4 linked regions of the Medicago truncatula genome follow. Each later gene encodes a partner of the first gene's protein in a complex. Links are inferred from orthologs where the notes say so. Each region holds a gene or a part of one and is shown on either strand. Other genes may lie near its edges.

The links.
Region 2: protein PLASTID TRANSCRIPTIONALLY ACTIVE 10 (region 1) and protein PLASTID TRANSCRIPTIONALLY ACTIVE 7 share a complex: the UniProt entries of both Arabidopsis thaliana proteins name them as parts of the transcriptionally active chromosome (TAC) complex. The link is inferred for Medicago truncatula from reciprocal best matches to the Arabidopsis thaliana genes PDE312 and PTAC7.
Region 3: the proteins of protein PLASTID TRANSCRIPTIONALLY ACTIVE 10 (region 1) and superoxide dismutase [Fe] 3, chloroplastic are in contact, whole or in part, in a cryo-EM structure (PDB 8XZV), measured with the Spinacia oleracea proteins. The link is inferred for Medicago truncatula from reciprocal best matches to the Arabidopsis thaliana genes PDE312 and FSD3. Residues at the interface, in XP_021866326.1 of Spinacia oleracea: Arg80, Lys81, Trp84, Val85, Trp89, Pro91, Glu156, Leu158, Arg177, Asp178, Arg188, Glu192, Arg195, His198, Lys199, Ala202, Arg204, Tyr276, Pro277, Tyr314, Trp315, Glu329, Leu331, Arg346, Asp353, His354, Leu355, Leu356, Phe357, Arg359; in XP_021853685.1 of Spinacia oleracea: Tyr59, Tyr60, Gly61, Leu62, Lys63, Lys64, Pro65, Pro66, Leu100, Asp104, Leu106, Tyr107, Gly108, His109, Thr110, Lys116, Val117, Tyr119, Asn120, Tyr121, Gly122, Asn123, Glu142, Lys194, Ser204, Asn205, Arg258, Gln260, Ala261, Phe262.
Region 4: protein PLASTID TRANSCRIPTIONALLY ACTIVE 10 (region 1) and protein PLASTID TRANSCRIPTIONALLY ACTIVE 14 share a complex: the UniProt entries of both Arabidopsis thaliana proteins name them as parts of the transcriptionally active chromosome (TAC) complex. The link is inferred for Medicago truncatula from reciprocal best matches to the Arabidopsis thaliana genes PDE312 and PTAC14.

Annotation. Positions count from the first base shown.
Region 1 is NC_053044.1:37,564,157-37,572,041, forward strand, and holds the start of protein PLASTID TRANSCRIPTIONALLY ACTIVE 10, read right to left. Parts: upstream 3,003-7,885; 5' UTR 2,934-3,002; coding exon 2,208-2,933; intron 2,091-2,207; coding exon 2,031-2,090; intron 1,924-2,030; coding exon 1,894-1,923; intron 1,281-1,893; coding exon 1,207-1,280; intron 520-1,206; coding exon 438-519; intron 1-437.
Region 2 is NC_053044.1:45,255,504-45,263,401, forward strand, and holds protein PLASTID TRANSCRIPTIONALLY ACTIVE 7, read left to right. Parts: upstream 1-4,913; 5' UTR 4,914-5,017; coding exon 5,018-5,062; intron 5,063-5,139; coding exon 5,140-5,196; intron 5,197-5,279; coding exon 5,280-5,339; intron 5,340-6,821; coding exon 6,822-7,157; 3' UTR 7,158-7,387; downstream 7,388-7,898. UniProt on the Arabidopsis thaliana protein: Essential for chloroplast development, especially for thylakoid formation. Involved in plastid gene expression, probably by maintaining plastid-encoded RNA polymerase (PEP) activity.
Region 3 is NC_053044.1:39,103,535-39,111,286, forward strand, and holds the start of superoxide dismutase [Fe] 3, chloroplastic, read right to left. Parts: upstream 3,009-7,752; 5' UTR 2,846-3,008; intron 2,552-2,845; 5' UTR 2,533-2,551; coding exon 2,437-2,532; intron 1,829-2,436; coding exon 1,751-1,828; intron 1,348-1,750; coding exon 1,156-1,347; intron 526-1,155; coding exon 354-525; intron 1-353. Other genes in the region: alcohol dehydrogenase-like 7, read left to right, coding at 5,147-5,261, 5,444-5,526, 5,625-5,700, 6,259-6,323, 6,495-6,590, 6,857-7,021, 7,166-7,255. UniProt on the Arabidopsis thaliana protein: Destroys superoxide anion radicals which are normally produced within the cells and which are toxic to biological systems. Plays important role in chloroplast development, particularly in the maintenance of thylakoids membranes.
Region 4 is NC_053043.1:15,106,307-15,113,533, reverse strand, and holds the start of protein PLASTID TRANSCRIPTIONALLY ACTIVE 14, read right to left. Parts: upstream 3,010-7,227; 5' UTR 2,928-3,009; coding exon 2,877-2,927; intron 2,776-2,876; coding exon 2,626-2,775; intron 1,641-2,625; coding exon 1,503-1,640; intron 1,318-1,502; coding exon 1,192-1,317; intron 1,009-1,191; coding exon 880-1,008; intron 721-879; coding exon 631-720; intron 537-630; coding exon 386-536; intron 225-385; coding exon 115-224; intron 1-114. Other genes in the region: protein FAR-RED IMPAIRED RESPONSE 1, read left to right, coding at 3,482-3,482, 3,618-5,761, 5,842-5,934, 6,098-6,190, 6,310-6,402, 6,488-6,520. UniProt on the Arabidopsis thaliana protein: Essential for chloroplast development, especially for thylakoid formation. Involved in plastid gene expression, probably by maintaining plastid-encoded RNA polymerase (PEP) activity.

The sequences.
Region 1 (7,885 bases):
TTCTTAGTACCAAAAATGGATGAATAAAAGAAAGAGGCATCAAACACCGAGGCCAGAGGTTAAACATATCGCCCCCTTCCCTTTGGAATGGGGTGAGCAATAAACTGGAAAATTGGATACCTGATGTGGGGATACCAACAGAAACTAAGGACAGTGCTTCTGATGGGTAAGTGGGAGCTTGCCCCAGTTGTTGCACACAAGAGAGAGAAAATTCACCTTGTATAATACAATTTGAGCTAGAGTTCCTATTTCAAAACGTGAACATAACAACATGAAGAAAAATGCAGCACCAACTAGTTTCCTATCGATGGGTAAAAAAACTACAATTTGGCAGGTAACAGTACAGTTAAAGGCACCATCACTGTATTATCAAGTATATAAGGTAAGTATTAAGTGACAAGTATGGAATATTCTCAACTAGTGACCGAAATACTCACCGTAATTTCAACAATGACTGTCATACCCACTTTTATGTGATGGCGAATCCAAAACCAATCATTGTTCTTTATAGGAACCCACCTAGAACACGTTACAGTAGATGAATATTCCAGAAGAAAACTTGCATAAAAGTAAAAGCTAAAACAGTGGCACTGAACAAGATAACAATGGTACAGAAGTAAAGTCTATAAGTTACTCGTGATAACAGTATGAAGTACTGCTGGTACACAGCAGCAGCAAACAAAAGAAAATATGCAATAACCCATGGCAGCATATAAAGAGAAAACAATGTCTCCTAGTCAAAGATCAAAGAAAGAGAAAACAATCTCAGTGTTGAATAATTTTCAGTAAACTGGGCTACCACATGATACAAAAGAGACAGTATGATTTCCCTGTAGCTCTAGTCTGTAAACAACCAGTACTTTTTTTTCTAACAAAAAAATGCATCCAAAGTCTAGAGATTTAACAAGTCTCAGGTGTGTTTCTCTAGGTACTTGTTTTGTTTCTGCCATGGCTTTGGATATAATGAAGCATTTCAGTGCTGGTACAAATGCTTGTGAAGATGCTTTTCCCAATTTATTTTTGCACCACATGATATTGATTAAACATTCTAAAGTTATAGATATAGTTATTAATTTAGCAAGAATATCATTGTGGAAGCAACTCAATATTACTTACTCCAGCATCCAAAACAATGAGGAAATGAACACCCAATACAGAAAAAGTTAAGGGAACACTTAAAAGATGGACAGAGGGATTGGTATGTACCCATCGTATACTCCGCCAATGTCAACAAATGCCCCTTGATAGAGATGCAAAGTTGTCACCTTCCCCACACAAATCTGCAATGAAAAATTATCATGTAAGCATTTATGAAAACTTGAATCTCAATCCTACATATTTATTTATTAAAAATTATGATACAGAAAAAGACTGATTTTAACTATACGAATGAAATGAAGCCAAACAAAAATAGGATCATCTATTGGACTACATATACAGTTGTCCAATTAGAGACATCATGATTGATCAAACCAAAAAGAAAGAAAAAAGGAAAAAAAAAACTGTGACAACGTGATGCTGCCATTAAAGGGTAAATTCAGTTATTCATAGTTTTCTTAAACAAAATTTCCAGTCAGCAATTTAAAAATGTAATATGCACGTTGTCATAACTGAAAAGATCACTGTACATGCCTATTGAAGACTAGCCTAGTCCCACCATATGAAATCAGTTTCTTCCAAGCAGCAGAAAATGATAGAATGCAATGCTTGCCCGTGCGTATAAAATTATAATAGCAGTAATTCGAAACAACCAGGTGAATATGAAAACACACTAATACCATAGGAAATCTTAAGAACACGATACTGATAAAAAGTAAAGCATCGACTTTATAGACAACAACAATACAATATAATCCATAATGAGTATGAACTAAGAATTGTGAAATAGCTTACTTGGCCAGGATAATAGAACGGTAGCTCGTACTGCAAAAACCATTTAAAAAAACAGTTAGCCCCAGAACAAGTTTGCTTTCTCACATTCCAAATACATACAAACATAAAAAAAGAATCGTGAATTCATCATATCCTACCATGCCATCCTTGTAATCCTTGCCTCTTTTCCTCCTACCAGGGTGATAATCTTGGTCTAACTGTAGCATTCACATCACAATTAGCATTAGCAATTAGCAATCAACATAAACCAAATCAAAAAACTATGAATGCACATTGTAATAATTTAAACAAGTATGAAATGAAATTGAAGAAACCTTATAGGATTCCTCTTCCAATAAATCCTTATTAGCTTCCAACCATTCATTGTACTGTTTCAAAAACACCTTATACCTATCCAAACACACATCATCAGTTTCAGTTCTAACACCATTTTCAATATCCTCCAACCTCACCCTCTTTGCCTCCATCTTATGCGCTTCACGAATAAACGCGAGCTCTTCACGATCCACCTCCCACCCTCTCGGCGGCCAATCCCTCGGCGGCACCAACTTCACCACCAACGGTCCTGCCCACTTAGTCTCCAACTCCTCCGGAACATCTTCCTTAATCTCAAATTGCTTCGCCAAATATTCCTCTTCTGTCACTCCCATTTCCTCAATCTTCTTCTTCCTATACCTAGGGTTCAACATTCTAAAAGCTTCAATCGACTCCGGTGAACTGAGAGGAACTTCTTCACCTTCGTTGAGACTCGTCCGCGCGAATTTGGCTTCAGGAGTGAGAATCTCTTCCCATGGAGCCCAGCCACGTTCGATCCAGTTGCGTCGTCGTGCTTCGTCTTCGGATTCTTTGGTTTTAGGGCCGAAGGTTTGGAGGAAGGTTTCGTCGACGGGGAATTCATCGGAGGTGAAGGATTTAGCAACGGTGGTGAGGGGTGGTTTGCGGTGGAGTAGAGGTGGTGGATGGCCGTGAAATAAAGGAGAGGGTTTAAGGTTTAAGGGTTTAGGGAAAGTGAAGAGATAAGAATTGGGGAAGACTTGCATTGCTACACTTCACCACCTTGCTTCACAAAACTAACATTGAGCGGATAGATAAAGTTCAAACATTTAATGAGGCAACTGCCCTTGCCTAATATAAATATGTAAGAGATAACTACATGCTCCATTTGTTAAATTTTCGATATTCATCATTTAGTTTTTAATGGAGCGATGAACCAGTCTTTTATGTCATTCATTTGTAATAAGTTGATCATTTAAGTTTTTTCGTACCATTTAGATCTTTAAATTATTTAATTTTAACAATTTAATAAAATTTTGATTGTAGAAAAGTAAGTTATTTGGTGTTTAAAAGTTACGATTAAATAATTTAAAAGATCTAAAATGTGTGAAAAAACGTAAAGACTAACTTGCTACAATTAAATAACTAAAAGATGTAAGTGGTACAAAAAAAGACTTAAAAACCCAACTTGTTATAATTAAATAACTTAAAGAATCTCTAGTGTACTTTAGCTTTCAATTTAATCATCTCACACATACGTCTCGATTATAAAAAAATTAACTTTTTTGATTCATTTAATAACTAATTTATAATTTTAATGATTGCCCCTAGAGTGCTCTTTGAGACCTTTAAATAGTAACTTTGTTCAAAAATTTAATCGATGCATTGAAAATTGAAATATTTGATTTTTTTTGTGAATATTTTTTTCTTTTGAAATCCCTAAAGAGCGCCAATACATTACTACTCCCTCCGGTCCTATTTATAAGAGAATTTTGGGTCAACAAAAGTTGATGTATCTTGTTAAAAATTCAGTCCAAATACATTCACTTTTGTTGACCTAAATTTCTCTTATAAATAGGACCGGAGGTAGTATTAGAGACTAATACATTAGTTATTGAACGAATCTAATTTTTTTGTCATGTAAGCACAACTCAGTTGGTAGCTACAAAGACAATATTATGCAGGGGCCAAGGTTCACCAAACTCTCTACTTCTTCACCTTTAAAAAGTGTGAGCTCCGACCACTAGGCTACTTAACAAAAAAAATAATAACTTTTTCTTATAATTGAGATTGGAACGGGTATTCAAAAAACGTAAGAATAGTTTTAAGTATTCTTATCAAGTATTAGTATTGCATTGTAAAATAGATCATTCATTTGAGATAATTTTTTTACAAATATGTCACTCGTAGTGGGTCGGAAAGCGTAATTAATACAAATATGTGTGATGTGCTAAATTAATTTTTTTGGTCATGCTATTTTGAAAATCTCAAAAACCTCTTGAATGGTGAGCACAGTTTTTGTGTGTTAAGCATCCGATTTTTAGGAAAAGGAGACTCAAGTTCTTCCAAATGATTTATCTTAAATAAAGCTCATTAACCAATCATGTGAACACAATTTAAATAAATTTGATTTTACTCTATTTTATTTTTCATTTATGACATAGATAAACACAAGCAATGGTTTTTTTTAAGGATCCACTAAATAAAATAAATCTTGAGTTGACATCCTCTCGATCTTAAAATAAATGGACAATTTTAATTTCAAAACTACTTAATTTGCTTCAAAATTATATGAATGGACAACATTTATTTTATGAAATAGAGAGATTCCAACAATCCTACTAATGCATCTCGTGTCAACATTTATTGACAATGAATGAAGAAAAATAAATTTACAATAAATAATTAGGCGCCACAACTCAAGAATTATCCTCTATATGTAACTATTCTCCATCCCATTTTAACCCAAACTTTTGTTTATTTTACACATATTAAGAAAAAGTGTATAAGTATTAGTACATTCCTTCTTACCATAAATGTAAAGTATAATATATTAAATTGAGAATGATAAAAGTAGTATTAATTAAATTTATAATTGGTAAAATGTAATTATTATTGTTTTGAAAAGTAAAATGAATCAATTTTTCTGGAACAATATTTTTTTGCGAATGATTAACTTATGACGGGACGGAGGAAGTACCGATTAATGACAATTTCGATGTCTAAAGTTCAATAGCTACCACAAGTGACATATAATCTGACCACTTAATCATTTGGTCAAAAGTTTGATTCGGATGTCCAAAGGATACTTCGTTTACCAAAACAAAAACAAAAGAAGAACTAACTTCTAATAGACTTAAATCCATCTTTGACCTTCTAACTACACATGTTTTTTTTTTTTTTTTATAAAACTCGGTATACGATCCAAAAATCGCTATTATCTTGATGGATCTAAGTCAAATTTGCATTCAAAGAATCTAACAAAACAAAATATGATGGTTCCACGTTTTCTACTTCAATCCATCCCCAAATCAGTAACGTTGAACCTCGTATTATTCCAAACAGGAATATCAGTTTGTCCTACGGCGCCAAATTAAGTAGCTCATGTGCTATTTCATATAATGTGATTCTTTTTTAATGAGAAGATACACTTTTTTTTTTTGTTGTTGAAGGAATGAGAAGATACACTTATACATTGAAGTTTGGATGCTACATCTACAAATTTTGCCGGATTAGTATATGTTTGAGAATAATGGGGAGACTACCAAATTGGAAAAGGGGAGAGTTTGGACACTAAAATCACATTGAAAAGAAATACGGAACTAAAGCCATACAATCGTGATATTTAGAGGACCAAAATGAACTTAAGCCCTTCTAATAATACTGCAAAGGTTTGTATCCATTTGCCATCTGCATTTTGAAATAATTTATCTTTCACTAATATGATACAAAATACGTGAGGTTATAAGTAGCCAGGGGAATAGGGAATGCAATCAATTAATGAAACATTAACTCCTAAATGATTATAAATGGAAAAATATCATCCTTATGATACAGATAATAACAAACTAGCAAAGAATAACCATCTATGCAAAGGAAATGATTCCTCTTCCTCTGGCAAATTTGACAGAGACTAACATTCCATGATGATGTTTAGCAAAAACTACAAGTGGGGACATCATCATCATGGCATGCTAACCAAATGAGAATTTAGCTTTATTTGTGTACCATTTTCAAGATTAGAATTTAGCTTCATTTGTGTAGGTTTTCATTAACATTTTTCAGCCAAATGCCAAGTTAAAAGACAACGTCAGAAAAATTGGGAGCAAGGACTGCAGAGTGAGCACATTATCTTCAATCAAATCCTTGACCGTAAACTTTAACATCATGGATGTCAACATATGGAACTTGGCAACAAAGAGGGATAAACTTTATCTAATCATTATACCAAAATCAAAGATCACCAGCTCCCACCGGAATCTCTGAGAATAATCTTGGCCTTAGTAACAAAGTTCCAAACTATGGAACCTGAAATCTTATACCTTGACAGTAAGTAGTTTGTGGTTCCCACACCAGGTTTCCAAGCATAGTAATGTTGACTTTTGTAGTCATTCTCACACCTAAGCCGCAATTTTTTTCTAGCCAAATTTATATCACATTCCAGCATACTTGTAGAGCAAAACAAAATCTTTGAAACACAGAAACAAAGCATGTAAATCTCAATAACTCATGAAATTCCCCTGCTATCCATCATATTTGAATTTAGTATTGATTTATGCTCATTGCCCAAATGAATTCGCTCATTTCCAAAGTAAATGATCAAAATGCTCCTACGCATGTTAACATGCGCTGGTACAAATTATAACATAACTTAAGATAAGTAGCGTGACTTAACATGCGCTAGTGTTATTTGTGAGTTATTTGTTGAATGCTTAGCGCAAGTTAACATGCACTAGTGTATTGTGAAACGTGAGTTAACTCACGTTGCCATTTGCACTAGCGTGAGCAGTGGCGGAGCTAGGAAATTTATGGAGTCCGGGAAAAAAATTAATCGTAAATTCACATGTGACATAATATATAAACAGTCATAAATCAAAAAAAAATTATTTTTTATTTTTTTTCCTAAAAAAAATCGAAAAAAAGAGGTTTATCATTTTGTCAACAAAAGTGCAATTTAAAATAGGGTTATTAATTGAAATTGACCACGTAATATACTTGAACTCTGAAAATTGACCCTGTAATTAAATAACATGTATTCTGACCATGTAATTCGAGATTTTTATTATTTATAACCTGTAATATACGTGAAGTCCAAAAAAGCAACCGAGAGATTGAATTTTTTCATGATTTCCTAGAGGCGAGTTAAGAACGTTAAAATATGGCTTTAACAAAAAAATTATAAATTTTCGACAAACGACAAATTAATTATGAATTTTTAAAGTGTCAAAAGCTCAAAAAACAAAACAACAGAAATCTCGATCTATAAATCAAATTTTGAGCTCATTATTTGCAAAGACATCTATAAAAATACATAAAAAGGATATGTAAAGTTTCATAGCATTTCGAAGTCGTTTAAATTTATTTTGATTTTTCAACTGAAACGTGCAAAATTGAAATTTTGTTCCGCGTAAGCGTGTACTCAGAAGCAAATTTAGTTCCCTAATTTTGTAGGCATGACTAGAACATGATAAGAACCTTCACAATGAAATTTTGTAATTTTTAAACGAGATATAAATTAATTATAAATTGTTTAAGAAATTCATAATTATGAGGGAATAAAAATTCATAATTAATTTCTCCCTAGTCGAAGAAATTTAATTTTGTGTAAAGCTATATTTTAACGTGCTAAACATGTATGAAAAAAATAGTGAAAAAATTCAACTTGTTGGTCACATTTTTAGACTACACGTATATTATAGGGTGGTCAAAATTAAATAAGAAGAAATTCAAGTTACAATGCTAGAATATATGTTTTATATTTTATTGGGTCATTTTTCAAACATAAAGTATATTACCGGGTAAATTTGAACAATTAACCTGTTAAAAAATAAGAGAGATGAACCCATCAATAGTGTGCTAAATAAAATTCCAAGACCTATTTGCGTGTGATAATTTTCATATTGCCCAAATTTTTCTTTTTGTAAATGTGTTAATGGACTTTTTGGTTGAATTTAATGTGCAAAAATTATCGATCGAGTCCGGGCGACCGCCCGGGGTC
Region 2 (7,898 bases), about 7.7 Mb from region 1:
AACTGAATAGTATAAGCTACTTTTTGTTATCAGCAATTCAATGTTACATAATAGTAAATGATCTTCGAAATTGGATAAAGTTTTTACTGCTATAAATTCAAGAGGTAATTGCTCGAAAGAACTTTCATTGCATGAAATGAGAAAATTTGGGTCGTTGCAAACATTATTTGATCATATTAGCTCTTTGGATCTCGTTTTGAAACCCAGTTTAGGTTCTTGGTTTCATGTCTCGTTTTGCAACTAGTCCAGTGCATTGTTGTATTCTCATCCAATGCTTTGATTTCTGTTTTTCCACACAATTTGATTGCTTTATGATTATCTCTTACTTTGATATATAGTTTGCAATAGTTGGTGATATAAACAATTATATGCAATCTGGTTGTTTTGAACACGAGTTTTGTTGTTGTGATTCTCTGGTTTGGTATTATTTTGGTACAATTTTTTTATTGCAAATGTTGTTGTAGGTATTATCTATATTTAGGAAATTTGTTTCTTGCAACTTGGATTTCTTATATTGTGGAGTTTGTTTTGGTATGCTTATACTTATATTAATGTGCTTCTCTATTGGTTTAGAGTTATATTGTGGGAAAGTTGTCTGATTGATTTGGTAAAATTTTACAAATGGATTCTTCGTTGGTCGGTCGCTCTCTTCATCGTGGCATTTTAACATGGTTGAAAACCCTTATTTTGGTTGTTTTCCCCTATGTTGATACATCTTTTTGGTTGTTTCTCATTCTTTGATTGCTCGTCTCTCTGTTGGTTCATCTCTTTGGTTGTTGTTTCTTCTCTCGTTGCTCTTCTATTTCTTTGTCTTCTCTTTGATTATTGTTCCTTCTTTGGTTGAAATTCAATTGGTTGGTTACTCCATTATGATTGATTAATACGATTGTTACTTCTTTGGTTGTTCATCTCTCCAATGGTCATTCTCTTTGATTAGTGTCCCTTCTTTTGTTTACATTCTCTATGTTGGTTCCTCTCTTTAGCATGATTGTTTGATACGATTGTCTCTCCTTATTATGTTACTCATCGCTCTATCAGATTCTCTCTTTGGTTGGTAATTCTTCTTATATTGTTGTCTTTGTTGGGTCATATGTAATTTTGATAAGATTATTTTTCATTCTTTGGTTGTTTCTCATTTGGTTGTTCTTTTTTATGGTTATTCTCTTTGATTGTTTCTTCTTCTTCTTAGGTTGATTTATCTATCTATTGGTCCATTTTTATTTCTCTTTCTTTAGTTGTTTATTTTTTATGGTTCATCTTTTTTCTTGCCATTTCATATTTGGTTGTTCCTCTATTTGTTGCCCCTTGTTATCTCATATAAATGGACAAAATAAGTGAAACCTAATGAAGACCACATGCATCTACCACTAGCAACAAAGCAAACTAAAATCAAAACAACATTTAGTGTTAACTTGTGATTTTTATTACCAACTAATTTTTTTAATTGTTAATTGTTCAAATTACCCTTAATTTTTTATATTACAGACCCATTTATAATATTAGAGCAAAGCCTCCAATTTGATTTAGACGACACTCGACAAACTGCGTCAATCAATTGTGAATGGTAGAACCAGTCCAGAGACAGTTCACTGCATGATAATTACCCAATATTTTGTCGACCACTTTTTGGGACCATTGTGGTTGTTGGGTTGTGCTTGTATATGGGTATGATTCAAGGGGCTTGTGTATTCATGTGGTTGTTGGGAGTCTCAACATCGGTAGCTGGTTTGTATGTTGTCTTAATATTGATTGGTTGGTTGTTGGGAGCTTTGGTCTTGGTGACTTGATTGTGAGTAGTCTTGATATGAAGTGAATACGCCATCTACAACACAAAGTTTCAAGTAGTTAAAGACTCGGGTTACTGGCCCCAATATCAAGGCATCTTCATTTGCCACAATCTAACCATGAAAAAACTAAAAAGAGATCGTCCGAAGTAATTGCATTATGACTGAAAAGTGGTGATAAAACGTGGATTGTGTCGGCTGACCATACATTCTCATAAAAAAATTCTTACTCATCAATAAATGTTATTAACTTTTAACTTGTCATTTTATTATTATTTATCGGTATGCAAATTAAATATATTATCACACAAGGCAAAATAAATGTGAAATGTAATTTCTTTCAAAAAAAACACAATGCAACATTAAAACAACACTACTCAAGCAAAATTACATCAACTTAAATAAATAAACATAATATAACATAATGTCGAGATCCACCATAATCTACTCAGACTTAACATACAAATAAATTGTTCTTTCTCTACCTTCTTCGTTCAAAAACATGTCTTAAGCATCAACATCATTGTGGATAAGCTTAAATTCATGATATACAGTGCCATTGTCATTACCATCTCCCAACAATATATAAAAGGCTCCCCATAAGAAATTCGAGTCACTTTTCAAGGATCATTACAAGCTAAGTTATAAAAGTGGCTAAGTTGCCTATTCAACCCTAATAACGTTTTTCTTGGAGTTATATACATTTCAAATGGATCTCTCATATGGTCAAATTGAACCATGACGCGTAATGAACGAGACATGATATAAATGAGATTAGAGAAAGTGATATGAGTAAAGTATTAGGTTGAGTATGAAAGATTGTGATTTGTGATGAAAGGGGAGACACCTACTTATAAGAGTGTATTTTTTTTGGTACAATAAATAATATTTTAAAATTTTTAGAAGAAAAAATTATTTTTAAAACAAAAAAGAAAAAAAAAAACATGTGAATCAAATTTTAAAAAATAAATTTATTGACATTGTCATTATTCATTCGTTTTTCTTTAAAAAAAATTATTTAGTTGTTTTATTCAATAATTATTGCTTTATAAAATATTTTCATTATTAAAACAACGTATTAAATTGAAAATGTGATGGAAAATAATATTTCAATTAAAAATGTGATGGAAAATATTTAATTATTAATTTAGTAAACCTTTAATCATTAAAATAATATACTAAATTAAGGATGTGATGAAAAATATTAAAACATTTTCCATAAAATATTTTATCTATTATCAAAATATTTTTATCATTAAATTAATATATTAATAACGTTTTATTCATTAGATGATAATATATTAAATTAAATAATATTGTAATGAATAAATAACAGTATATTGATCTTTACCAAAAAATAAATATAAAAATAATATTTTAATTAATTATTTTAATAACTAAATATTATATAAAGTAATAATTATTTAATAAAACAAGTTAATAACGACAGGGATATTAAATTTATCTAACTAGACTCTGCCACGTAATTAAAGTTGATCTCAAAATTAATTTTGTAACTTTCATCAAAAAAATATTGGTTAACTTGAATTCACTTTGCTAACTTAGACCTACTTTATTATAAACATGTTTATATTTTGAAAGATACAATTATAAACATGAAACAAATCAAAATAAACACAAATGTATACAAATATGTTTCATTAATTCTTTTTGTTCATAAATAAAGTTGCTGTAAATTAGCAAATTGGATGTAAATTATATTGAAATTTACTTACATGTTTGTCTTTTAGTTATCATTAATATTTTTTCTTTTTTGGTTCAACAGTTTAAAAATCATTTTTTTTAAAGTGAATAAATGAGGTGTCTGAAGTTCGAACCCCTATCCATGCATAAATTATGCATTATCTTTACCAATTGAGATAAGCTCACGAGGATTTGTTAATTTAAACTTTTGACAAGATTTTTTTTTTATTTTTTAAGCAAAAGATGGGATGCAGAGGGGTCTCCTGCTGCAGTACCCAAAACATATATTAAACGAAAGAAAAAAGTACAAAGAACAGGGGGGACAAAAACCAAAACCCTCCAAAAAAGCAAAAGAAAACCAAAACATAAAGAAAGCCAAAAAAAACAAACTAATGAGGCGAACGGCTGGAAGCACCCACCTTGAATCCTCTGCCCGTCTCAGGTTGCTTCTTCTTGAGTTTCTTCTTTCTAGGGACCACCAATTGAAATGGTTGACTCGTATTTTCGTCCAAATCAACAATTTCATTGTTCCGAGCCATGTTAGCCCATGATTCGCTTAGAAAATTCACCGTTTGTTGGGCCTCCGTAGGAACAACTCCTAAAACTTGCATGTCATGAATAACAGATGCACTGAAGTTTGACAAGTCTGAGTTTGTCACCACAATGGAGTTACCTCCCAAAGGAATTGTATCTAATATTGCTTCCTCTTGATGATCATCTTGACATAAAATGTCAGCTGAATCAAAACTCATGTCAATATTACCCTGACCATAAAGGGGTCCCGTACCTGCTAAATCACTCAAATTCTCATTACCTTGAGCAACCATGTCTTCTGGATGCATAGAATCAACAACATTAGTACCATCCACAAATCCCAATAGAGGATTATTATCAACAACCGCTTTAGTGGCATTATTTGACAAGATATTTTTATATAAAAATGAAAAAGTGCACATTTGTTAAAATATGAGATATGATCAATTGACACCAACATGTCAAACTTAATACATGACATCGACAATAACTCTTTACCGTACAAAATTTTACATTAATTATAAACTATTCTATATGTTCATTGATACCACAAAATTATTGTCTTATGAGCTATTGAAAACCAAGTTAATTTTGATGTATTTAATTGACATATCAAATAGTTTTTGATTAATGTAAAATTTTGTAGATATGATTTATGTTATAATATATTTCAATCAAACAATCGGTCTTGCAATAAAATTATACAGTAAAGAATAATCGTTTGTGTCGTATTGTTAAATTTGACCCAATGATGTCAATTGATTCTGTCCCTATATACACCGTTGAGAGACTCTTAATGTTAGAAATTATTTTGACTAGTACACAAATACCATTTTAAAACATGAACATATTGATGAACTATTTATGACTATTCATTTCATAGGGATGGAAATTATTATTTTTCTTGGAGAAAAAAACTATTTATCCAAATATTATATAGAAAATTCCTTTATAGTTTTGAGATAAGGCGAACCAAAGTACAGTAAATACCAGCTATGGCTCTCCGCGTCAACACATTCACCCTCTCTTCGACTTTACCTGTAATTTTCATATCTTTCTTTTCAAATCTTTATATTTTTCTAAACTGTTACTTCAAAATCTTGTAATTTTCTTGCAGAAGATAGAATTAAGAGCTGGAAATTCATGGAGCCCGAGCCTGAGTGTTAACTCGCAGGTATAAATATAATAACTTTGAAAGTTGTTGAATTCTTTGTTTGCAACATGAAACTGAACTTGTTCATGCATTTGTTCTTCAAGATGGTAATCCAAATGCGAAAGGAAAGTGGTGGACGAAGAATCTGGAGGCGAAGGAAAATGGTATCTTCTGCATCCATCTTTCTTGTCTCACAATGTTTTTCTTTTTATGCTTGCCTCTTACCTGTTTGTATAAATTTCCCAAATAATAATAATAAAATAAAATGAATGAAATTAACATGAATTTCATCTATTAATAAAGAATGCATTGAAAAGATTGTGTTGTCTAACTTTCTCAGTAGTCAATAGTATTAGTGGCTAAATTGTTACAAATTTTTAATTTTAAATATATCTAGCTTGAAGGGTTAGGAAGAATTAATGTTGAGTAAATGTGTTTGTAGTTCTCTTGGGACATTAGGCTCAATGCGAAGAGGCGCTGAATTTTTCCCCGTTTCCTCATTTTCCGGAAAGGAAAGGTTTCAAACTTATAATTGTAACATTCTAAAGTTGGAAAGTTAGGGGACTAGAGGTTAAAGAGTTTGTAGTGGATGGATTTATTGGATTGCATGTTACACTTACAGAAGTAAGCTGGAATTGTGAAACAGAATTAGCGATCTGGATTATAGATTTGTGGTGTTCCAAATTAACAGCTATAACATTTGTGATGTGAGGCTGCAAGGGAATATTGGAAGGTATGTTATAGTTTTTGCTGTTCCAAGTAAATAAACATGCTACAACATTTGCGATGTAATTTGCAATGTGTTGCTGCAAGGAGGAACATAGGAAAAAAAAAAAAAAAAAGTGGTGTTTGAACTGTATGTTGTATTCTTCACAAAAGAAAAAGTATTACAAGAGTCTCTAGTGATTCATTAAAGAACACAGTAAGGGAATATGTAGCATGACAGGGAATGAGGAGGAGAAGAGCCAAGAGAGGATATATAAAAGGATCACATTTTGTAGTTCTCACATCATTTATATTTACATTTGCACCCTGTCGTTTTGCCTAAGCTTTCATGTCTTTGTTTTTGCATGATATCACCACCTTGCTGCATTCTCTTGCGGATTCTTTGCCATGCATGTGACCTTTATAGTGTTGTAGTTGCTGTTGGTGTATCAAGTGTCAGAGGATCCACCCAATGTCTTAATGTTTTGGGTTAAAATGTGGTGTCCAAGTCAATTATGTAGTTGTTCTTGGTCTAGTGTGATGATTCCCCGGACTCCCTAATGTCCCAACTGTTGTTGCTACTGAGGTGTTTGTCGATATGAACATAATGATTTGCAAAAAAGATAACTGCTTTCATGTGGTAAAGATAAACCAAATTAAATTTGATTCGTGTCTTTGCTTCTTTCTATCATGGTTGCACATCTCCCAGTATTTGGCATGTTTCTCACTCAAAATAGATACTCATTTTCCGTTGAATCTTGATGCACATAGTGAAGCTGTATGCATATCAAGATGCTTTTATTTCTTCATTTCTAACTGTATTGATTGAATGAATGCATAATGGTTATGCTGGCGAACATGATTCATGCTATTGACACAGGTTTCACGAGTATCAGGCCCGATGAACTTGAATATTTAAGCAGAAACTCATTTTGCTGCAGATAAAAAAGGATGAATCTCTTCCCTACAAAATGGAGCGCATTCCTTTTCTCGAGGAGCAGGTGAGGAAGATAAAGGATGAGGGAAAACTCTTGCAATTGGACATAGAGAGGTTACTGTTATCAGAAGATAATAAGTATGATTTTGTGAATGAGATAGCAGCCGAGGCCAATGCTTATGTTGAGAGCAACATGGATGAGTATGGAGGTGAGAAGAAAGCCATTCTTCATGTTTTGAGTAATCGGGTGAATGATGCCGGATTTTACCGTTCAGAGGCGTATGCTGAGTCTGATCCCTTCAAACCTGGGCCTCATTATTTGAAAGAGTTTTATACATAACTTTAGATAACAGTTCTTAAGCTAAGATGTTACATTAGGGATAATAACTTGTTTCTTTGATTCACTTAGCACAGTTGATGCCTTCATGTCTGTCTAAGTTAGCCGCAGTTGTTTGTATGCATGCAAATCAAAGTCATCGAGAGCACGTGGAAATCTAATTCCGTATCTTGTGCATTGGAAGAACTATTACTATTCTCAATTTCTCATAGTATTCATCCTCTCTTTTAATAGTCCTTTCTGATTTGATATTTTTCTCTCTTTTAAGAAATGAAATGAAAAATGATAGCACTACATATTAACTGTAGTAATACATAGTAATATATATTAACTGTCACAATTATATTGATATAATACTATATAATGAGAATTGTTGTTGACACATTTCATATGGCTGAGAAACACGAGTAAAGTTGTCGACACATTTCATATGGCTGAGAAATACGAGTAAAATACGTTTTTGCCCACTCGGCAGTTAACTGCCGAAGAATTTAAAAACCGGCTGCAGTTAACTGCCGAGGAAAACCTCGGTAGTTAACTGCCGAGGATCTTTTGCTACAAATCTGGCAGAAGCTCTCTCATCCATTATTCATCTTATCTTCAAAAAAAATTCTCTCACAAATCTCTATAGAAAATCCAACCAAATTTATTCAACAAAATCACAAGTAAGTAATTATAATGCTATTAACTTACATTTTAGTTGTTATAAATGTTTTTATTTGTTAGTTTTTGAGTAGATTTATT
Region 3 (7,752 bases), about 1.5 Mb from region 1:
CAATATCAAACAATAAGGTTTCGCTTAAGATAGTATACATCAACATAGTTCTACACAAGTCTGGAAATGCCATTATTGTAAAACTAAACCGCCAAATGACAGAAGATAAGTGACAGCCTCAAGCATAAAATATGTAAATATTCCCAGTGAGATAAAAACGAGAATTTAACAATTCAGAAAAACAAAACCTTGGTTCTTATTTTTAAATCAAATATTTATTTTAGATATTCGCTTGTTATAAGAGAAGTCCAATGATTTTATGGCATATTAAGAAGATAATATGGGATTTGAATAACTCACACATCACTTTAGCAAGACAGAGAGAAGGGGGGATTAATTAGGAAAGGACTTACAAACTAGCCAAACCCAGCCAGAACCAAACAATGTAAGTGCAGCTTCTGTAAACTTTTCTTTGAAATTCGTAAATGATCCAAAATCCTTTTCAATCTGTTGAAGGAGACCTAGTATGGGTATATCACCTCCTCCCGGTTGCATGGATTCCCAGAAGAAGTCATGATTCCAAACCTTTGCGGAAGAGGAAAAAATAATTAGGTACTACAATTCACAGACAGTATTTGAATATAAAAGCACAAAGCTACCACAATTGTAATTTTGTTATTGTTAGTTATTGTAATCCGACGAACAGCCAAGAATAGCTACATGACACGGATTGGGCAGACAACAACAACCAAGCCTTATCCCACACAGATTGGGCAGATAATTTCCAATTTCATGCAAGCTAGGTAAAATGAAAAGAACCAAATAAAAATCATTTATCAAAGAACCAGAAGGAAAAATCATTTATTTAAGACACGTAAAAATGGAAAAGAGTGCAGGAACCACAGAAAGAGTATTCATTTATTTCAACTTCTACCTTACGTTGATATAGTTTCAAACCCACATTCTACAATTAAATACATTATGATTAAATACATTTTTATGGTTTCAGAAGAGTTTCAGACTCTAGGGCACAAGTTTCCAATTATGAATGGGGGAGATGCCAATATTATCAACACTTGGGAGTGTGTATCCTAATTTTATTATGTAATATACACTGAAGCATTTTGAATAGGTTTATGTGGAAAAGTAAGCCGCTACAGAGCCATAATCAAACTTTAAAAGATCAAATCCAGTAAGCTATCAATAAGTCAGTACCTCAGCTGCATTGTTGAACTCAGGTGAAGGATTGCCATTGTTGTATGTCACTTTGACCAGTTCATCCAAGGTGTAACCATAAAGTATATCATCCTTCCCGAGCTGTTTGTTCAAACCTTCAATAAAATTCCGATGATGCTCTCCCCAGTGCACGTCAATTGTCTGCTTACTCATATATGGCTCTAATGCATCCTATGAGTATTGAAGCAACAAATAAAGTTAGAATCATGATATGAAGGTAAGTTACATATTTGAGTTTGTTAAAGGTTGGACTTAATTGCAGGTTTCATCAACGAAAAGGAGGAAATAAATGAATAACAAAAGCAATGGAAAGGACTTAATTGCATGCTGTCATGCCTTTGTCGATCACTAACGTTTTTCTCAGTTCTAGTTTCTTTCTTTATCATTATATTGGTTAAAATCGGAATAGCTATGTAACTAGCCCAAATAAAGCAAAATATGACAATGCAATGTATGACAGCAATGATTTCTCTGATAAGCATTGCGCAGCGTTCAACTAATCCAAGTATATAGGTTAACTTAAAACAGTATATCTCCAATAAAACATGGATTCGGGTAACTATGGTTCACTTACATGTTCGTAGGGAGGGGTCTTCAAGCCATAAAATGCTGTAACTTTTGAAGATCTGGGCAAGACACCAAACCTCTTTTTCTGCTTAAATACAATTGAGGAGGAAAGAGATAGCCACAAATCAGAAAAAGAAGAAAAAAAAATTGCCACTAACCACAGAGAATAAATATTGCTTGAGGAATCAGAAACTATAAAAAAATCAAATTTTTCTAAAACAAGTAGTCCACAGCATAAATGAAACTCATTAAACTTTTCAAAGTGCTGTAAAAGTAAAACTTTAATGACTCAACACGATTTTCTATGTTAAGAAATACTAACAACACACACATAATCTACACACAAACAACCAACACTACAGAGCTAAACTATTTCAAACATGCCTGTTATTATTAATCATTACCTCCCTAGTAGTGTTAAAGCCCAAATTTTAATAGTCAAACATTTTCTTGCAGAAGATCCATATTTATCAATGCAATAATATACCATGATGCTTTCAAGAAAAATTAAACAGTTTTACTTTAGTGTCAGTAGCTACATTTATCAAAGTTAATCGAAAGCCATATATTGCAACTGAAAATTAGGTGAATATAATTTATCCTAAAAGTTAAATGGAAAGTCATGTTTATTAAGAAGGTCATCAGAAAAAAGAGATAAAGAAATTAGAGTAATTCAAAATGAAAATAATTTACCCTGTGAAGAAGCTTAGGAATCTTGAATTTTGTAGATAAGTCTGGTGAAAAGAGACGAGAGCTAGTCGGAATAGGGTTTAAGTAACAGGAAGCCATAGGTACTCTGTTCCAACACCTAGCATTTACATAACCATATGAATTCATAATTTAGCATTCAATTGTATTACTAAAACAGAACATTAAAATCCAAACATTATATTTAAATAAACGTATAAAACTTTGTAAAATTTGGAAGAAAACTGTGTAAGGTGGTTGCAAGCAGAATTTAACAATGTTGACTTAGGCATTTAAACAAACAGTTGATATACTGATGGAAAAACAAAAGGGAGCCAAGTAAGAAAGCGAGGAAATAGAAGAAGAAAAAAGTTGATATATATTAAATAAAATAAAAAAGGAAAAGGAGAGTTACAAGATGCTGAAAACGATGCGGTTGAAACACAAACACAAGCTAAGGTGAACTGAAAGATGGTGGTGGTGATGAATGTCTTGCTTCTTCTCAGACTATTTGCTTTGTTTCTCTGTCAGTAAAAGATAACGTAACCAGTATTCAACTCCGACCGGACACGACCCCGGTTCGGTTCAAGTTAAAGCGGTAAAATTAGTTATAATTTATCTTTTTTTAAAATACTATATAATCTTTTTTTTTTAAAGGTTAAATGCATCTAAAGATCTTTTAAGTTTTTCATTTTGCCTAAAGTCGTCATTTAAGTTTCAAAAATGTCAAACAAGTCATTTTAGTTTTTGAATCGTTTCAAATAAGTCCTATTGTAGATAGCATAATTGGTAATTGGTTCCTTGAACTCATCTTTGGTACCAAATCGGACTCCTAACACCCACTTAAACTTAGTCATCTTTTTAGGCATGACAAATGGTGGATAATACTCTTTGTTGCTATCATCTAAATCATCATCATAATCCTTTAAAATGACTTGTTTGAAACGATTCAAAAACTAAAAGACTTGTTTGGGAATTTTGAAACTTAAAGGACGACTTTGAGAAAAACGAAAAACTTAAAGGACCGTTAGATGCATTTGACCTTTTTTAAATGTATTAATGAACAAAATTTAAGAAATTAGATCCATTTTCATATTTTTTTGAACTCATAAATGGTGATGTGGCACATTTTAAATGAATTTTCATACAACATCATAATGTAGAATTATCATCAATTAAAGTTACCAGAAAACCTCTGAAAAATTATCTTCATCTAATTTTCAGACCAGAAAGCCTCTGAAAAATTTCAATTGAAATATGATATATCACCATTTTAAGTTCATAAATATGATAGAGGGGCCAAACCGAGTGATTTTTAAATTGGGGGGACCGATTTCGCGAGTAATTTTGTCTTATTGTTGGCATTTTTTGAGAGGTGGTTCACACAAATTAAAAGTTTTCATCTCCGGGTTAAGGAGATGATAATGACAAGAGTGTATATACTTATTTTGATGAACTTCGTCATCGGGGTGTATATATTTATTTTGATGAACTTCACCATCTTCTTAGACAAGAGCGTCCACATGTTGATGTGGCGTGCTTGGAGTTATTAAACCTAAAGGGGATTAGTCTATATACACATTTGCATATGGTTGACTTAAATTGGTGGGGGGTGAGTCAAACTTAAAGCATAGTATGTTCACACATGCCATGGATTTTTTTTTTATTGAAACAACAAATTTTATTAAATAGTCAGATTCCGGCTCAAGACGAACAATACCGGTGAAATTGAGCATACAAACGCAAGATGCATCATGTTACCATCTTCTTTTTGTTTAAGTTATTGCAGCAATCCTCTAACGCAAGATCTAACAATTCCATGAAATGCTTCAAGCTCAGTTGTTGACAAGAACAACGATCATATTGGTTGTTTATATGTTGTTTTGGTGTCAATATATTAGTAAAATGTTGGGTCTGAGCTAAGTTAAAGTGGATTCGTAAAGCTATCAATTCATTGCATTTGAACATTGTAAACTGAAAATCAAACCAACTGAGTTCGATTTCTTTCGGTTCGGTTCAACTTTTGAACTAAATAAAAAAATATCAGATGATAATCGGTTCAATTTAATTTAGTTTTTCGATTACATTAGTTTTGTTTGAATCGTTTATTGCCTTATCTATTAAGAGTGGTATGATGACTATTGGCCCCATAAAAGAACAACTGTTGTTGTCTAGATCATCTAAAAAGCGTGTATAATGTTACAAATGATAAAAAAAAAAAAAAAAAAAAAAAATTACTTTTTGTCAAAAAAAAGATACTAATTTTAATTACTTATTAATTTTTCTAAATTTTATTACAAATACAACTCAATTGTAGGCTGGTGTTGTTTGCGAACGCAACTGCAACCACAATATAGCTGCCACATCACGCGGTCCACAATTTGAACATTACTTGTTCTATGTAGATTCTATGACTAAATATTTATTCATTTTTCTTGTTTTGTTTGGGTTGAATAATTTGCTGCTTTGTGCATCCATTGGCATTAAGTTCTTCTACATACTCAAACATTGAAGATCCCTGGGAACATAATGAAGCATTTCTTTTTCAACCAATTTTTTGTGATGTAGGGTTGTGGAAAGTGTAGGGGAGTGTATAGATTGCAAATCAACCAAGAGCAACCGTTGTACTAATTTCCCATTCAAAGTTTCTCCTTGGTTGCCTAGAAATGGGAACACTAGATTCACTGACCTAAACGGAGAGATCATATATCATTTCATGTTTATTTCAAGTTTCAGTGAGTATACCGTGGTTGACATTGCCAATGTACTAAAGATTGATCCACAAATCCCTCCTCATAGGGCCTGCCTTCTCGGTTGTGGTGTATCGACAGGTAGTTTCTTTATCAACGCAAAAAGTAAATTTAGAATATAGATAAGAACAATGATGATGGTCAATTAGGGTCAACTTAATTGGTCGTGAATAAAAGAAATATTGCTTGTAGTAAAAGTTAACCACGTTAATCCAATTCAATGTTTTGAAATCTTATTTAATAGTTAAAACTTGTATTTGTAGGGGTAGGTGCTGCTTGGAGAACAGCAGGTGTAGAGCCAGGGTCATCAGTTGCTATATTTGGGCTAGGATCTGTTGGATTAGCAGTATGGGCTCTCTAAAACTCAGATTTGCCTTCTGTGTCTGCGCCTCTTTATGGTTATGTGTACACTAAAATACTTGTTGCAATTGATTGATTTCTTAGGTTGCAGAGGGCGCTAGACTTTGTGGAGCAACTAGAATTATTGGTGTGGATGTCAACCATGAAAAATTTGAAATTGGTAATACATTGTTTGCTCAATAACACTATATCAACCATTAAGTCCAATATTTTGTTGCTAACCACCCTCATGTTTCAAAGCCCTTCACTAGAAAGAGGTGTTATAGTACTAAAGGTCTTTTAGATTGACTTGTTTGAGCTTATTATTAAGAATAATAATATAGTTAGTTAGGGTACTAGTTTAGTTACTATATAAGTCACAAGGTTGACTCATTTGTACATCTCTTATCATTTGTAATTTTCAATTTTATCATCAATAGAAGTATTCTTTGAGTTTTCTCTCATTCCTTCATTGGATATCATGTTTCCTAACACTTATCTAGTGGCATAAGCACTTCTGAGAACACTTGGAACAACTTTTGACATGTCCTTATGTTGTTTTCAACTTATTTTCGTAACTTCTTCATAGGAACTTATATGATAAACGCTTAAAAATGTTTAATGAATTTATTTATTGTAATCAGAACAGGTCCTAACTAGGGGAATTGTACCACTTCTGAGGCAATTATGCAAGAATTCTGAATTTGATTTCATGTTCCTTTTTCTTTCATTTAATCAGGAAAGAAGTTTGGACTCACCGACTTTGTTCATGGTGAGGAATGTGGAAACAAATCTGTGAGCCAGGTCCACCCTCTTGAAACTTCAATCTTAACTTTGATTTATGATATTGTCTCTTTACAAGAGATCAAATGAAAAGAAAATATAACAAATTTGTAAATTTTGCAAGCATGTTCAAGACAAAATTTTATTTACTAATGATCTGTTAAACTAAATCAGAATGTGGTTGCGTAGCAGATTATCATAGAGATGACTGATGGAGGAGCAGATTATTGTTTTGAATGTGTCGGTATGGCATCATTGGTGCATGAAGCATATGCTTCTTGTAGAAAGGTATAATTCACTCTCTCAAATGTTTCCAACACATCCTCACACTGTCATATAGAGACAGAAATTGATAATGTAATTTTGACTAATCACCCTTCCATATAAAGTTTGATAGACCACTTAAAGTGGCGAGTTCTTAATATTTTTTAGGACGGTCGGAAATAAAACTTGACAAATAATTGTTTCAGCCAGGGATCAAACTCAAATATACCTAACCTATTCGACTTTAACTGAAACATTTTAACCAGTTGCCTTGACCATTTTGCTTCTAGGGTTGGGGAAAAACAATTGTTTTAGGGGTGGACAAGCCAGGAGCTAGGTTGAGCCTCAGTTCTAGTGAGGTCCTTCATGATGGGAAAAGCCTTATGGGATCTGTGTATGGAGGACTCAAACCCAAATCTCATGTACCGATTCTACTTAAACGTTACATGGACAAGGTGCAATAATATTAAGTTCCTTTTATTTTATTTTTGGACTATTATACTCAATAGTAAAATAATAATCAAGTGAAAAACATGAAAGATCAAATGATTTGTGACATTTTCAATGTGTTAAAGTTTTGGCCCTTTGATTAACTGCAGGAACTGCAATTGGATGAATTTGTGACTCATGAGTTGGAGTTTAAGGACATCAATAAAGCTTTTGATTTATTGAGTAAAGGAGATGTGTGATTTGGATGGACAAACGAATGCATTCTTATGTAATACCATATAGCCTTTTTGAATCTAGTGACTTTGATTAAAACAGTACTAAAAATAAGTTTAGAGACCAAAAAATCCCTCTTGTCTATCTAGTCAATCTACTACTACCCTAGAAATATACTTGCGTTGAGAAGACTTTGATTGTATTTAGAGAAAAGCCTAATTCTTCTCATATATCTTAAATGGACGTAATTTTCACTCTTAAAAACTAGCTCAAGTTATGAAGTGTCAAAGCACGTGCATGTATAGATTCAACAATTTAGGAATTTTAACAATGTGCCAGTCCAACATAATATTTAAATGTTTATAAAAATAATTTATGAGTCATTTATTAAAAAATTAATATTGCATTTCATGGTCTATCTAAGCTTGTAAACTCTTTTTTATGGAGATGAAAATCAAAAAGTGTTTAAACATTTTTAAAAAAAAATCAAGATAAATCACTAGGTTGACACCAAAAGAAGGTA
Region 4 (7,227 bases), on another chromosome or scaffold:
CTAGTTTAGGCCAAACAATATTATAAGAATAAAAACAAAATCTGCACTCAGTAACGTTTAATATAAGAAAGGAATCACGAAAAGCATACTTCAAAGAAGTATAAAGTGATTTACCTCATCTCCCTTTCTTATCCGTTGTCCAGCATTTATAAGAACCTCAAGCATCCTGTCCTTAAAACGCCAATGGAAAAAACAATTTGGCTCAAACGAATGGTTCAGCATATCTGAAAAGCAAGACTAAGTTAATCAGTTACCTCTGTTGTTGTTTTATCAAAAAGGAAAGAAAAACTTTACATCAAATGTGAAATAAACAAGAACCGCTACTATGCATGAGTAGAAAATGATACAATAGTTGGTTAGACCATTTGATGTGAACAAAGCTTACCAGCATAAGGAATCAGCATATTCGCTTGTTGAGTTAGTGCACACATTCTCATTTGCATGTTGATACAGCGTGACTGTGCAATTCCTACTGCCCACATGAATCTTTGAGGATCACGAGCAAGACGTTTTACTTTGAGCGGCACACCACTATGCTGAACAAGAGTAACACCATTTGTTGAGAACAAAAACTAATTGATATGCATCATAGAAGACTAAAAATTTCAACAAGGACAATTTTCTCTCTACCCAGTTCTTCTCCCAGAATTCTAACACTCGTTGTTGCTGAACTCTCATTGTAGAAGCAAGATCGGGATCCTGCAGCTCCAAAAGTTCCTCCTAGATATACAAATCAACATGAGATGTCGTAAAGTGAACTCTAAAACTGTGGTATGTTCCAAATGTAGCTATTCAAATCTTAAAATTACAAGATACATCTGATGCTGGCTAAATATCAACCAATGGTTTAATGATAAAGAAAATCTATTTTTTATGCACCTCTGTAGCTAGAAGTAAGCTAGTACTTTCATCTTCACTGGGTAAGAAGTCACCGTAATACTGCCAAAAGTTGTCTTTGCAGTCAAATGAAAACAAGAGAAGGCATGCTAATCGTAAATCCCAATCTGTCTGCCACAAAGATTTACACAATTACTTTAAGCAGATAACTAGAAAAACTAACGGTTTTGATTTTTTTGAGTATATACAACAGTTACAATACAAATTGGTTAAATATATTTTACCATGAAAACAATCAAGAAATCAATTATATCATATTTTGAACTAATGACTTCAGAGGAGAATTGCAATTACCTCTGGATTTGTTGAGTTGATAATATCAAATATTGGATGACCAAGGGGAATTATATCAGGGAAAAACATCCATGGTAGTTTCTTGCTTATGGTTAGCATCAATTCAAGAGGAATTTCCATTATAACCTGCCCAAGTTCATCGTTAGGGAAAACAGCCTTGGACAACTACTCAGAATATAATCATGAAGAACATCATACAAATAATTAAACTAACATGTAAAATACAAATTAGGAGTTGATTATATGTGCCGTTATTTTCATTATGATGCACTGCCACCAGTCTTACATAGGATTTGTATGAGGCTACTCACCCTTGGTCGGCGAAGAGGTTCGACATCTTTAGAAGCATATACACCGAAACCATTTGGCCCTTCCATAAAATCAACTCCATAAGCTCGCATACTTCTGACGAATCCTATCTTGTAGAAATCAGGATCTACAGGCTCCAACTACAGGAACAAATAAATTAACACAAAGAAACAATATCACAACTCAATATCCCAATTTCATAAAAACAGACGACCCTTTAAAGAATTCATCCAAAAACTGGCCTTATAGGAATGAAGATACTGCATCTCAAAATTAACTTTACTCTATTATACACACAAAAGCACATCAAATTATTGAACCATCCAACATTTTAAATTGCAATCACAGTCAACGTTTTGTTGCAATCTTTGAAATTGCAGAAAACTCTGAGCAATCATGTAGCAGTGAGACTTTAAATTTAAGGCATGTCCGAGTGTCCGACACTGACACGACATTGACATGTGTGTTTATATACAATCACTTTCATCGTCTAAAATTATAGGTGTCTACATGTCGATATCTGTATAATGTCATGTTTCAGTCCTTCATAGACAAATATCATTGATGGGGCCGCAAATGCAGTAACAAAGGTCTCTAAAACTTTCACATTGCAGTTGCAATATCAATTAAGAACCTTTATTCAAAACCTTGGAAACAACATTCACTCACTCAACTCAATCAACCTGTTGGGCATAACTCATAGTTAATGATAAGTGAATAGGTTGCTCGAGCGAAACAAGAGCAACTGGGGTAACATTATAATCTGGACCGTAGTCTTTGAGTACAAGTTGTATACTCTAAACTCACAGAAAGGAATCGCAGCCGCTCTTCTTTATGTAGACATAGGCACAATTGACCGAACTTTGTTACCAAACATCATGTTCCATTTTTGCATTTTTCGTATCTTTATTTTCTTAAACCGAGCTGTTGTTTTAACACATTCCAGGGCCGGCTTAAGGGTAAGACTACTAAAACACTCCCTTTATGCCCACCAACAAAAAGGTCTCATATGCACCCAAAAAAGGTAACATTCTTTTGCATATATAAACTAATTTAACATTCCTTAGTCCTAGTTGTTACTTTCAACCTATAAATAAACAAACAAGGTGCAAAATGGGTTTTTACCTGAGAAGCTGTTTCTTCATCTTTAGGAGGCTGAAACAAGGGAAATGGGGCAGTTTCGACAGAAGCTTTAACAGGTTGTACTTTGTTTTCAGCACAAGAACCAAAAGAGTAAGTGGGTCGCCACAAATAACCATGGCGCAAACCTTTGAACTGTTTAGAAAGTAAACAAGTATTAGTTAAAAGTTATTTGAGATTTGAGAGAAGAAAAAGATGTAAAAATGGAAAGGGAAATGAAGTGAAGTAAACTGAACCTGGGTTTTTGAGAAGAAACTTGTTTGATAAAGTGGAAAAGAAGAAGCCATTGAGTGAACTCAAGAGTGGAAAATGGTAAAGACAACGTTATCCAGCATTTTATGTTCCTTCTAGAGTGATGTCACGTGTTTTTTTTTTTTTTTAAAAAGGCTTAAATGTTATTTTGGTCCTTAATATTTAATTGGAAAATGATATATCGTACGAAAATTTTGAATACGGAATATTACGGACGCGTGAAAACCTGTTAGTGCTACGCGCTGCTGTTTCTTTGTCAAAAACAAACAATATTAAATTAAATAAATAATAAAATCCTTTAATAGAAATGAAAGTGAAACCCACCGTTCACCAAAACAAAAACATACAGAAAAGAACCCACGTTCACCACTCCCGCAGCAATTATCTCATCTTTTCCGCTAATCAAAGAATCTGATTGACATTCAATCTCAATTGTTGTGATATAAGGTCGTCGTTCTCTTTTTCACGCTCTTGTCTCTTTGAATCAGGTCTCATATTCATTCTCATGTAACTCTGTTTTTGCTTACCATCATAGCTTCCATTGATTCATAGCACTAAAGCAGAGTATTTCAGTTTTAATTTACCTACAAGTAAGTATTTTGTGTATTTGTTGTTTTTATAGATTATTAGAAGGAATTTTGTGCCGATTGATTGATTTTTCATTTACTTTACTGTGTTAGTCAATTAATATAGGTTTTTTTTCTTCTTCTAATTTGTTGTGTTAGTGCAAAAAGGATTTGAGTCTTGTGATGAATTGGAAACTAATGATTGTTTAGAAGCAAATGGTACTTGTGAAGAAGAAACACCTTGTGATGGGATGTCATTCGGATCTGAAAAGGAAATTACTGAGTATTACAAGAATTATGCTGAACGGGTGGGTTTTGGAGTTAAAAAAATAAGTTCAAAAAAAGGAGATGAGGGGAAAATGTATTTTACTTTAGCATGTAGTCGAGCTAGAAAGTATGTGAGTCGCCCAAAGAATATGTTAGAGCCAAATCCTATAACTCAAACGCAGTGTAAGGCTAGATTGAATGCGTGTATTTCTTTAGACGGAACAACTAAAATTAAAAGTGTTTTTTTTGAGCATAATCATGATCTAAGTCCAGGGAAAGCAAGGTATTTTAGATCGAACAAGAATATAGGGGCACAAATGAAGAGGAGGTTAGAACTCAATGACCAAGCTGGGATTAATGTAAGTAGAAATTTCCGATCCTTTGTTGTTGAAGCAGATGGGTATGAAAATCTCACATTTGGAGAAAAAGACTGCAGAAACTACATAGACAAAGTAAGACGACTACGACTTGGGACAGGAGATGCTGAAGCAATACAAAATTATTTTGTGAGGATGCAAAAGCAAAACAGTCAATTTTATTATGTGATGGATGTGGATGATGAAAGTCGGTTACAAAATGTGTTTTGGGCAGATGCAAGATGTAGGGTTGCATATGAATATTTTGGTGAAGTCATAACTTTCGACACCACTTACTTAACAAATAAATATGACATGCCTTTTGCTCCTTTTGTTGGAGTAAATCATCACGGTCAGTCTATGTTGTTGGGTTGTGCTCTGTTATCAAATGAGGATACTGAAACTTTTACTTGGTTATTTAAGACATGGTTGGAATGTATGCATGGAAGTTCTCCAAATGCCATAATCACTGATCAAGACAGAGCAATGAAGAATGCAATTGAGATTGTCTTTCCGAAAGCTCGTCATCGGTGGTGCTTATGGCATTTAATGAAAAAGATTCCAGAAAAGTTTGGTAGTCACTCTGACTACGAGTCTATCAAAACACTTTTGCATGATATTGTATATGATTCTTTTACCAAAAGTGATTTTATGACGAGGTGGGAAAATATGATTGAGTGTTACAAACTACAGGATAACGAATGGTTGAAAGGGTTATTTGTTGAGCGACATCGTTGGGTCCCTGCATATGTAAGGGACACATTTTGGGCTGGAATGTCAACTACACAACGAAGTGAAAGTATGAACTCGTTTTTTGATGGATATGTAAGCTCAAAGACAACATTGAAGCAATTTGTTGAGCAATATGATAATGCATTGAAAGACAAAATTGAAAAGGAAAACATTGCTGACTTTCGTTCTTTTAATACAGTTATTTCTTGTATTAGTCACTTTGGCTTTGAGTTCCAATTCCAAAAAGCATTTACCAATGCAAAGTTTCAGGAATTCCAATTGGAAATAGCTTCTATGATGTACTGTCATGCATGTTTCAACAGATTGGAGGGTTTGGATTCAATATTTTATGTTACAGAAAGTAAGAAAGTATATGACACGATGAAAGATATTGTGTTGATGGTGTTCTTCAATGAAAAAGACTTTGTGTTAAAATGCACCTGCTGCTTGTTTGAATTTAAAGGCATTTTATGTAGGCACATCCTTTGCGTGCTTAAGCTCATAGGGAAAACAGATTTCGTGCCATCTAATTATATTTTGGCACGGTGGAGGAAGGATATAAAGCGGAGGTATACACTTATTAAATGTGGTTTTGATAATTTGGCTGGAAAAACTGAATTGCAACGCGTGGGTAAAGCTTGTGATGCCTTTTATGAGTTTGCTTCAACGAGGATAAATAGTGACGATGATTTAGTGAAAGTGATGAAATTGATTCAAAACATGAAAATTGAGTTACCATGTAATGAAACATCTCCTAGAATTGTAGAAGAAGATTGTTCAACTCAAAATCAAGCTACCATTCTTGATCCTAAACTAGCTCGAAGTAAAGGGCGTCCTCCTTCAAAAAGGAAGACTTCTATAGTTGATCAGATTGTAAAGAAGAAGCTTGCACAAAAGAAAACTAAAAAAAGAAACCAAAGTAGTAAAAATATTCAAGTTCAAGAAGAGGTGAGTATGAAATTTATAGCAAGTTGTTTATATTATAGGTATAATAGTTGAGATGTCTAATTTAATAATTTTTATGGCAGGGCCAATGTACATCTAGAGGTCAAGAAATTGAAGACGAAGTGTTTTACATATCTCAACTTGGTGATAGAATTGGCACACAAGAGAGCATTCAAGTAAACAAAGCATATACTAAATATTTTAGTGTAAATATTTCTATGTAAATATTTTAGTGTGAACATAGTTCTAAATGGTTGAATGGTACTATTTATGCAGTTGAACACAGTAGTGTGTGTGTGTACATGTGGGTGTGTCTAATTATAGTTTTTTTTATGACAGGGACTAAGATTGCATGTAGTTCAAAATACTACAAATGAAGAGTTTCTTAGGTATCAAATTTTTGATGGGACTGGGACACAAGACAATATTCAAGTAAACCTGATTTCTTACTTTCATTTAATTAAAAATGATTGGCCTTTTGTTATTTGAAATATTCAATATGATATTGCATACTATTTATCTATGTTTTTGCATGTTAATATCTATGACAGGAGCATAACTATGTTTGTAGCAGTGAAAATGGTAGTGTGAATACTGTAGCTTCCTTCAATCCAAATCAAGAACATTTTGGTCAAGTAAACAAGGTGCAAATATAGATTTTGGTGTTGTCTTGTTTTTATTTGACATTTTTATAATGAACATAAGTGGTTAATTATATATTCTTTGCAGGCTCCTTATTACTCTCGGGTCACAAAACCATAACACTGTTGTTTTTGGTTTGAACTGCTGTCTGGTTTTTCTGCAATCAAGGCATGAGGGTCTGCAGGATTGTTGTTTAGTGATTGTTGTTCTGCTGTTTAGTGTTTGCTGTTTTGCTCAAGCAAGTGTGCGGCTGCTTGAAATTGTGTTGGAATATGCTGTTCTGCTGTTTAGTGTTTGTTGTTTTGCTCAAGCAAGTGTGCGGCTGTTTTGGTCAAGCATTATTGTTAGATGGAATGGGTTGTTTAGTGCTAGTTGTGTGCTTTTTTTTTGGTTCAGTTTTGTTGCTGCTTCAGTGTTTTTTACCCTTTAGCAGCAACCAAATTTGGAATATAAAGCTTCTGTTTTTAGCTTTGTTATGGGTGGTTTTGGTAGGTGGTTGTATTAGTGTTCATGTGTACTCGTTACTTCTTGTTTGATTTTATCCGCGAGATTTTCGTGTTCCTTACACAATCTCGACGAGAATAATTTGCCGATTAAAAAAAATCTATAGCTTTTATTTGGAAGGAATATCATGTTATTGATGCCAAAAGAAATACTAAAGAATATTAAAACTTGAAGTACACAAATTGATGTTAGATGGACTTTTTATTGATTGACATGTATAACATAGACATGAGTAATATTACATTGCATGGATAGTCTTAACAGACCTCCTAAAATCCAAATGCCAATTTAAAGCACCATCATAGTCCCACAACTTCAGCTAG